Drosophila melanogaster: one gene and its partner. Changing the gene in region 1 together with any one later gene gives a genetic interaction. Each region holds a gene or a part of one and is shown on either strand. Other genes may lie near its edges.

Region 1 (4,857 bases):
CGCTTGTACGGCATGTCCATCGTGGAACCACTTAATACGGGGACTGGGATTTCCGGTGGCCCGACAGGGTAAAGTAGCAACTGATCCCTTGGGCAGTGTTTGATTGGCAGGTCCGATTTGAATAATCGGAGGTGGACGCTCGTCTAACGAGCTGACTTGCAGGAAAACCCGTACTGTAGAGGAATCGACTACACTGAAAGCGGAACACACATAGTAGCCTTCGTCTTCCTGCCGCACATCCGTAATCTGCAGAGTTCCATCGGCAGCCACATGCTGCCTCCCGTGCGAACTATTTGGGAACATGAGAGTGGATACTCCTTCCTTGGTCCAGAAAACAGATGGCGGTGGGTTTCCGGAGGCCATGCAAGGTAGTTGGACAACACCATTTAGTCCCACTTTCTTGTTACTGGGTCTTTTCGTAAAGTTCGGCGGAGCTTTAATGAAAACAATTGAAGATTAAAACGCGATTCTTTGGTAATGGAACTTAATCTTACCATGGACTATAAGAGAAGCCCTAGCGCTGATCTGACCGACATTGTTGTGTGCCTCGCAGACATAGGTGCCCTCATCGGTGGGCGTTATGTTGGATATCTCTAAACTTTTCTCGTCGTGAAGGATTCGCGCTCTGGACACCGGAATATTGCCCTCCTCCTTTTTCCACAACACTTTCGGCGGCGGATCACCGCCCACTGAGCAGTGGAAAGTGGCTGTCTGGCCGTAGAGCATCACCTGATCCTTGGGCTCCTTCATAAAGTATGGTTTGACCTGGACAATCAGCTTGGCATAGCTGCTCTCGCGGGTGCCTACCAGATTCTGGGCAATGCACTTGTAGTTGCCCTCATCAATGGGCTCCACATTGCTGATCAGCAGGTTGCCACCGTCCACAATTCGAACGCGGGAGCTGGCGCCAAACGACATGGCTTTCAGGTCGTCCAAGGGAACGCCGTCCTAAGAGCACAAAAAGCGGTTTAGACAACTGACTTTCGCAGTCTGGTTTTCGGAACCCACCTTTATCCAAATCAGCGTTGGCTCTGGAATGCCTTTGGGCGGCCCACACTCCAGCAGAGCCGTCTCGCCTTTGGCCACTCGCGTGTCTTTGGGCTCCACGCGAAAATCGTCGCGCAAAACTAGCGAAGAAAAATTGCAAAAATATCAAAAAAGCACATTATAATCGGAGACAAAGCTGGGCGTGTGGGCAGACAAGTTGGAGAGCAGACTAGAGTGGCGGACTAACTTACCAGCTATCTGGAGCGAGGCATGGCGACTAACGGCCTGGCCCACTCGGTTCTTGGCCACGCACCAGTACTCTCCGCCGTCCTGTTCCTTCTTGCCCTGCATTGTCCTGTAGAAGAAGAGGGCGCCGTCCTTGAACTGGACGCGGTGCGATTTCTTTTCGTTGGTGCTGACGGGTTCGCCATCCTGAGAGCGGAAAGAAGAGGGGGTGATTGAGTTACGATTTGGTTCGGTTTCGAAGGCTACACGGAAAAAAACAACTACTCAAAACCACTTATATTTTGTATAATTTTTGAATTCATTTTTGTTTTGATATTTAAAGATAAATAAATATACAATATTGATATGAAAACATTAAGATCAAGTTTTCTTTTGCCAGTGTAATGGTGATTCAAGTTAGAAAAGTATTATTTGGTGGGTACCTTAAACCACTCAATGGTGGGTTCCGGCTTGCCCTCCACTTTGCAGTTGAGCGTGGCGGGTTCATTCTTCTTAACGACCAGATCCGTGGGATGCTCGATGATACGTGGCGATTGGTACTGGCCTGAAAGGAGTAGGAAGGATGTGGATTAGCCACTGGGCCTGGGGAGGATTACCCAGGATGGGTTTACCTCTGACTGCTGGCAGGCCATTGCTGGCCACCAGGACGAGGAGCAGCCAGGCGGGCAGGAGCCACATCCTGCTGCTCCGACTGCGAGATGGGTTATTAGTGGTGCTCGTGCTCCGGGCGATGGCGTGGTTTTCGGGATGCATGGGATGCATTTTATGGTGTTGGTGCTGTTGCAATGACGACTCTACAGATGACCCAATGCAGCGGCGATCATTTTGGCGTTGTTTTTGGGTCCTGCGATGCATGATAGGTGATAGTATGTGGGTTAACTAAATGTGGGCAGCTGTTACATATGTAGGCGTGGCGGCATTATGGCTAGGCATTTATGGGCTTTACTTGCTTTTTGCTTTTTATCTGTCCAAAAACTCGAAATTATTTCTCGCCTGCTCCACTTACGCTTGCATTTCCATGCGATAAGCACACACACACGCACACACTCACGCACACTTGGACACTCACACACCCACACACATGTGTCTATGCTGGTTTTCCATTAATTTTATTTCCGTATTTATCTGCCTTTGTGTTTATCGCTCAGTCTCAGTCGCACCGACCCGAAAATTTACAATCCAAATTCTGATTCGGAGTTTTGATTTCACGTTCTCACACTTTCTTTCTAACGCTTTTTTTGTATCGTTCGCTGATTTGGTTTTTATTTTCCTTTTTATTTTTTGGATTTTATTAATCAGCCGCGCAGTGTAAGTTTTTGTTGGTATTTATTCGACGATTGCTCGCTTTTCGGGGTTGTTTTCTCCATCATCTCTCCTCGCGCACATTTTCCACATTTCCCGAACGAAATTTCTTTTTGGTAAAATTACAAGAACAAGAACTGCCCCGCCACCCCTCTCACTCGCACACACTGCCGTTCTAGCTGCCTCTCGCTCGCACCGCCTGCCGTTCCTGGGACTTCCCCCCGTTGTTGTTGTATCTATATCTATAACAGAGTGTTGTATCTATAACTCCTTGTAATATTTGCTTTACATCCGCAGCAGCTGCACTTTGTAATATCCGAAAACGAGTATCTACTTCAAATGGAAGCTTCGCGGTTGGATCGTACTTTCTTGGGTGCAAACTTACTCCAATTTAACTGTTGGAAATTAACTATTTTCCTGCTCTTTAGTGCGATTCACGGCGCAGCGAAAACTCACAATTGGACGTGGGTCGTGTCTGTGGAAATTTGAGAGCGCAACGCCCGGAATCGATATATCGATATATTTTGGGGTGTACCGAAAAGGAATACTCGAAAATACCAGAGGACATATTTATCAGTTGATCTGGTAGCGCCGCGTAAAGTAACTATTTGAATCTTTAATTGATTTCTATTGTATTGAAATTGAAATCGAAAGATATACCAACTATGTTTTAAGATATTAATAAAATGTAAATATTTAAATTAATGTATGTATTGTGATGTTGAATGGTTTATTAAAAAATTCCGTTTTATTCAGAATATCTATATAATTTGTGTGTGATTGCTTAAATACGTATATATTAATATTCATGTTCACGGTAGAACCAACTGTAAAATACTATAAAAATATATAGATAATTGTTATGGTAGAGAATAGTTCCTACACCAATTTAAGGTGTTTTGTTTAATATAGTTTCCCTGCATTAATCAAATAACTACAGAGTCTAGCAAATTATTCCATTCTGGCCAGGTTCATCTTTCCCCTAGCCAAAGTCCTCGAAAGAACCACGTTGGAGAGGTTGGCTTCGAAGGCAGGCGCTCGGCTGCGTCCTGGATGCAAGTGGAAAGTGGGAGGTGTGGGCGCCGCTGGGCGACGACCAGTCGGCTGGGCACTCTTCACCAGCTTGGGCTGGAGCTGCAGGCGCGACACTCTGTCCACGGACATGCTCTTGGGCCGCCGGGCTAGATAGCTATGGACGTGGCTATTGGAGCCATTGGCAATGTTCAAATTTACCAGGTAGTCCTGCAGCTGCGTCTTTAGCTGGCTGTTCTCCGCCTCCAGGCGACGCTTCTGTTGCTTCAGGCAGGCCACGTCCACGGCCACGTTGTTGACGCGTCGCCAGAAGGACTCCATTTGGGGTACCACTGCCACCTCGTCCTGGTACGTTAAACCAATGTTGAATGAAGAAATTACCTACTGGCATTTTTACTCACCTTAAGAAGATCAGTGGCTGGGTCAGTCAAGGAACCATTACCCTGATCCTCTATATCTCGAATCTCGATAATCTCCTTGGATATTTCCGGCAACTGGAACATCCGCTCCCGCTGGGTTTCCATCTTGGCACAGACCGCAGACAACTGTGCCAGAGTCTCGCCCTTGGCCACAGTTTCCTGGAGGAATTCCAAGGCATGGTAGCTCTCCACGGACATCAGCTTGAACAACTGGTGATCCCTGGCCACCTCCTGTTCCACACAGGTGCGTAGCTCCCTTAGTCGCTCGGTCAACTGCTGTTTGATGGCTTGCCGCTGCTCCAGTTGGCCCTGTTGCTTGATGTAGAACTCCTCGGAGACCAGACGCAAATTGGTCAGCTGGTCTACCAGGTGCTCGATTTCGTGGGTCTGCTGGCTAATCTGGAGGGCTGCCTCCTCATCCCGCTGCTTCAGATCCACGTACTCCGAGTAAAAGCCTTCGATGTGCTGACAGTAGCCCGCCAGAACACCCTGATACTCCTGCCACAGCTTCTCCAATCGAGCTTCACCTCTGGAGGTGATCTGCTCCAGCTGTAGTTGCATCTGGAAGTGGGGTTCAATTTAACATGTTTTCATAAACTTTTAAAATAACCTTTATTGTAAAATATAATCATCGAAGAGCATTGCACGCAATTGTAAAATTAAGATTGATATGTGTCTTGGTTCATTGTGCGTCAGTCACTCTGTAATTTGGATGCCATTCTCCAGAACTATAAATGATGTGGGCATAGCTGCTCCTCCATTCAGTTCCCAAGATGAAACAGTTGATTTTCCTGCTGATTTGTTTGAGCTGCGGCACCTGCTCCATTTACGCACTGAAATGCAGATCCCAGGAGGGACTAAGTGAAGCGGA
Region 2 (4,626 bases), on another chromosome or scaffold:
AAAACTCTTCTCCGATAGCTGTTGCATATATATATATATATATTTTTTTATAATTTTTTCATTTTTAATCATTATAATATGGTTTGTGCAGCCCAGACAGATAATGCCGAGACATTGACCTTTTTCGCAGATTTTTTGTTTGTCTCTGGCCTTTTCTATTCGCCTCGCTTCTGGGTTCTCGGTTCTTATGTCTGCTCTCTTTCTTTGTTGTCAGATTAGCCGGCCAAGTGGATAAACCAGTTTTTGCCTCCGCCACTCTTCTTGGCTTGATTCTTGGCCCTCAATCCTCACTCTTTTACCCATGTTCATGTTGCTTGACTTTGGCTAATTAGCCAAGAGTGGAAGTTGTTGTCATGATCCCTCGCCCCGCCTCGAATTTCGTAACGTTGAACTTAGGAAAATCTTGCCATGCAAACAAATTAGTTGAAGTGGCGAAAAAACGGTCTTCAATGCAGTAACGACATTTTTTTTATCACAAAACACAATATATTCATAAATTAAGTAGCACAACTCTGATATATATATTTATATATGTAGATGTATAAGCTAAATGTTTCATTCCTACTGTGTGTTTCATACCGAAGTATATAGTTTTAAAATTTTGTAAGTCCCCTTTTGTTAAACCCAAGCTAACGATTTCACAATAAAAATGGATGAGTCCCCTGAGCTTTACTCAGGTTTTCATGACTCACGTTATACCTTATGCTTTTCGCCTTCTTCGCTCTTTTTGCCCCAACAATGGACTTGCTTTGTGGAAATAAATAGGTAGAATCTGAATTTGTATATTTACATGAACATACATACATATATGAGTAGCTAACTTAAGTGTAAAAAAAGTACATTCACGGCTATATAGATTGTTATTAGAGTCGGTTGAGTTTGAAACCTTGGCACCTGCAAGTGAGAATATTGCTGAAAGCAAACACTCTGGGTCACAAGAAAATCATTCTGTCAATTCGCTTGGAGTGACAATAGCGAAATTAAATTAATTATGCAAAGCAACCCCATTTGTTTAATAACAAAATACACCCACAGCATAGTTAGGGAGGCGAGAAAACCCAAAGACAATTACCCAAAGTGTCTACTAAAATTATAAGAAACCCTCTGTGTTCCACCCTCAAAACGATACCCTTCCCCTTCCCCCTAATATCCTTCACTCGTCAATTATCCTGGCAAAGTACGTAATTATTTTTGTTGCTCGAAGGGTTCTGGGTGAAAATGTTAACTTTGTTTCCGCCTGATTGAGCACTTATTCCAATGTTATTGTCTATGCGTCATTTGCAGCACCCTCGGCTGTATTTCATTTTAAGCCCCGATTGTTGTGGTTTCTTCGGTTGCCAGTGAGTCAAGTGCAGAAAAAAAACACCAATGCTTTATGTATTTTTAAATTAAAATATTTAAAAAATTATATGAAATAGGAACGGAAACCATTTAGATTACATTGTTAATCAATGTTAGTTTTTCGAACTTACCATTTACGATGATGATGAAAATGATCGATACGAATACAATGTTGAAAGCACATTTTGATGACATTATTTGCGATGGGGATCCAACGTGGATGGCTGTCGACTAAACAGAACTAGCACCAAATTTCTGCTTGCTTTTGTTTTATTTTTTATTTTTTTTATTTCCGCGAAGGTCGTTGATTGGTCTTAATAATTTCCTTGTGGCAGTAGTTGGTTGCGTTATTGGGCGGCACCTCGCACTCCAATCTTCGCGGGTTTTTTAATCAGAGCTTTGCACTTTCCATGCCATTTACAAATTTAGCACTTTTTGCATGGGCCATAAAACTTCGCAGCACTTTTTCGCACGCACGAATTATTTTTGCTATTTGTTGCAACTTCTTTTCGAGCTCTTGTCACGTACACTTTTCTTATATTTTTATTTTTGTTTTATTCCAATATTTTCTCGTTAATAAATTAAAAGCGAAAATAAAAAAGAAAAATCTTCTTTTTTGATTGATTTTGTGTGTTTATTCACTGGATTGTTTATTTCTGAAGGCAGAAGAGCGAGACATTTTGATTGATTTAATATTATTAAAAATATACTATTTAAATATAAAAATAGGCAATTTTATTTGTTTTATTGTTTTTTTTATAATTATGTTTTTTACTATTTACGCTATATTCATAAGTTCGGTATGCGTTTTTTCTTGTTTAATAAGTTTATGAATAGTTGGAAAACCAAAACATTAGCAATACAAACAAACATAAAATCACAACAAAAACAGCTATTGGCCTTTGCACTCACACAGAGGCAATGAGCAAGCGCGGAGAGGAGAGCAAGAGAGGGAGATGCAACAGAGACGACAAAGAGCGACGGAAGACGGAAAAGGAGAGAGCGACAGCTGCGGCGCAAACGCAACAAAATGCATTAAATTAATTATTGTTGCTTTTAAAACGCTTGTTGTTGCTGGCACAAAAGAACAACAAATCGATTTGTTTACAATGCTGTTTCAAAATAATTAAACAGAAAAATGTTTTCGTGAATAGTATTATGTGTAGTTTAACTTCGCAATAGGGCTAATTTAACAATGTTTTTGCATGTTTACTTATTTTCGTGTGCCTCGTCTTGTACTTCTTTCATGCTCTCTCTTTTATGTTGCTTCTCGGATTGCCTCTCTACATTTCTCTCTCTCACTCTCGTTTGCTATGTGTTGCCAGTAAATTAAATGCGTTGAAATGCAGCCATTTTGTCTCCGCAATTGGCACTCACTTGAACTCCGGTCGAATTTTTTGTTTAGCCACAATTCTCAATTGGCCAGAATTGGGGGCATTTTCTTTGATTAGCGCACATTTCTTAAGCCTGACTTGACGATATATATTTATTTTTATTCGCTCACCCGCTCGCACATTAGCACACACACACACACGAACGCACGCACACATGCAAACGCACGAACACGCGTCCAGCGATTTTCCGACTCCCACGGCGTTCCGAGATCCGTTACAAAGAGTTACGCGTCCAACTCGCTTGGTGGTTTTTTTTAAACTACCCGATTTCTCACCACATATACAAATGTACTTCAGTCTTAGAGTGACCAGTATCATAAAAAGAGATAATCTTTCTAATGCGTTAGTTTTCGTGTGCGTTAATACTGATATTGACGAGAGATGATACAATGACTCATCGTATTCACTATAGTATATTAATAATAGTTAGATTCATTAAATAAAACTTATTTAGGCAACAGCACTTACTTTTCAGCTAATTAAACATATTTAAACATTATTGATACTTACGCATAAGGTATACAGCAAATACAAATGTTATTTATGTTATTTAAATTAAGCTATTGCAAAATAATATTTTAAACTCTAAAGAGAATTTGTTTAATTGAATTAAAATTAAAATCATTTTGTTTTGTGAGCTTGTGTACTTCTTCGTTCATTTACATAAATTTTTTTTTGAACACTTAAATTCAAAAAAGGCGCCAAAATTACTTTATTTTGCAGCCCTCGTCCACTTCAACGAAAATATTTTTACGCCTGGTGGCAACCTTTATCATATGGAACCAGTGTTGCCACATTTGATATTTTAGATTTATAATGAAAACTATTAGAAATTTGATATATTTAACAAATAAGCTGTTTACATCAGAAGCTTGTTTTGTTGCTATGCTAATAAGCTGGATAGGGCCATTTGCTATGGTTATCTACTGATTTAAATTTGCCTATCGCTTACTGTGATAATTTGAGTATACGTTAAAATACAACCATTTTGAATCGCGCGCTCATTATTAACATGCTCGGATTTTTTAGTGATAAACTCGTTAAGACGCTCTGAGTTGTGTCACCTGGCAACACTTCGTCAGATGCTCATCGAGTGTTGCTGCGGGTGGACGTGCTCGCTTTCTCTGTCCGTTACCGTTACCTCGTGTCTGCGTTCACGTATCCGTGTGTCTGTCCGCGTTCCCCGTCCGTGTGTGGGTGTAGGTGCGAATGTGTGTGTGCCTTTGGTCGCGTGTCGTCGCCGCTTTCATGTAAACGAAGATTGTGCAAAAGGTAAACGCCAAACGGTGGCAACAACAGTAAATGATAAACAGAAGCGAAACAACTAGCAAGCGCAGCAACAACCACAACAACACAAACAGCAAAGAAGCAAGCAAACAAAACTTGTGAAATACTTTTTGTTTATTTTTTTTTTATTTTGGCCTGGTCTGGTGGCAAGTGGCAAAAGCTATAAAAAACGATTCTCGAAAACAGGTTTCCTGCGTGAGCGAGAGAGAGAGAGAGAGAGACCGAAGCGTTTACTGCAAACTAGAAGCTCAACTGCTGCCGCACAGTGGTCACTACAGTTCTAAGCTTGCCCCACTGTGCGCCCAGAACTTGTTTTCTTCTTCTTTTCATTCGATTCCCCTCCCCACTCCTTCGTTCCAACTGCAGCTAACTACTCCTTTCATCGGGCGTTTTAGAATGCATATTTGGTTTATGGGAAGCTCACATGCAGCGCCCCCCGAAATCAATACGGAAAACGGTTTTTCCCGAAAGAGCCGTTACTTTTCGGGAAAATCCCCATTCCACGGCACCTCGGCTCTGCCACAAAAATCAGCTGGCTCGGCAGTCGGCGCAGCTCTGCCGGCGTCGGCAGTGGAGGGACTGCGTCGGGCGCCTAGCAACAGAG

What was found.
Region 2: of robo1 (region 1) and kuz, changing one enhances a phenotype caused by changing the other (phenotypic enhancement), as found in Drosophila melanogaster (one study listed by BioGRID).

Annotation. Positions count from the first base shown.
Region 1 is NT_033778.4:22,697,958-22,702,814, forward strand, and holds the start of robo1 (roundabout 1), read right to left. Parts: upstream 3,014-4,857; 5' UTR 2,921-3,013; intron 2,639-2,920; exon of another isoform or gene 2,240-2,638; intron 2,078-2,239; 5' UTR 1,996-2,077; coding exon 1,845-1,995; intron 1,778-1,844; coding exon 1,656-1,777; intron 1,420-1,655; coding exon 1,239-1,419; intron 1,128-1,238; coding exon 1,009-1,127; intron 949-1,008; coding exon 495-948; intron 435-494; coding exon 1-434. Other genes in the region: CG30259 (uncharacterized protein), read right to left, coding at 3,487-3,912, 3,969-4,547; Obp59a (Odorant-binding protein 59a), read left to right, coding at 4,760-4,857.
Region 2 is NT_033779.5:13,548,513-13,553,138, reverse strand, and holds the start of kuz (kuzbanian), read right to left. Parts: upstream 3,001-4,626; 5' UTR 2,846-3,000; exon of another isoform or gene 2,719-2,845; intron 1,998-2,718; 5' UTR 1,537-1,997; coding exon 1,473-1,536; intron 1-1,472.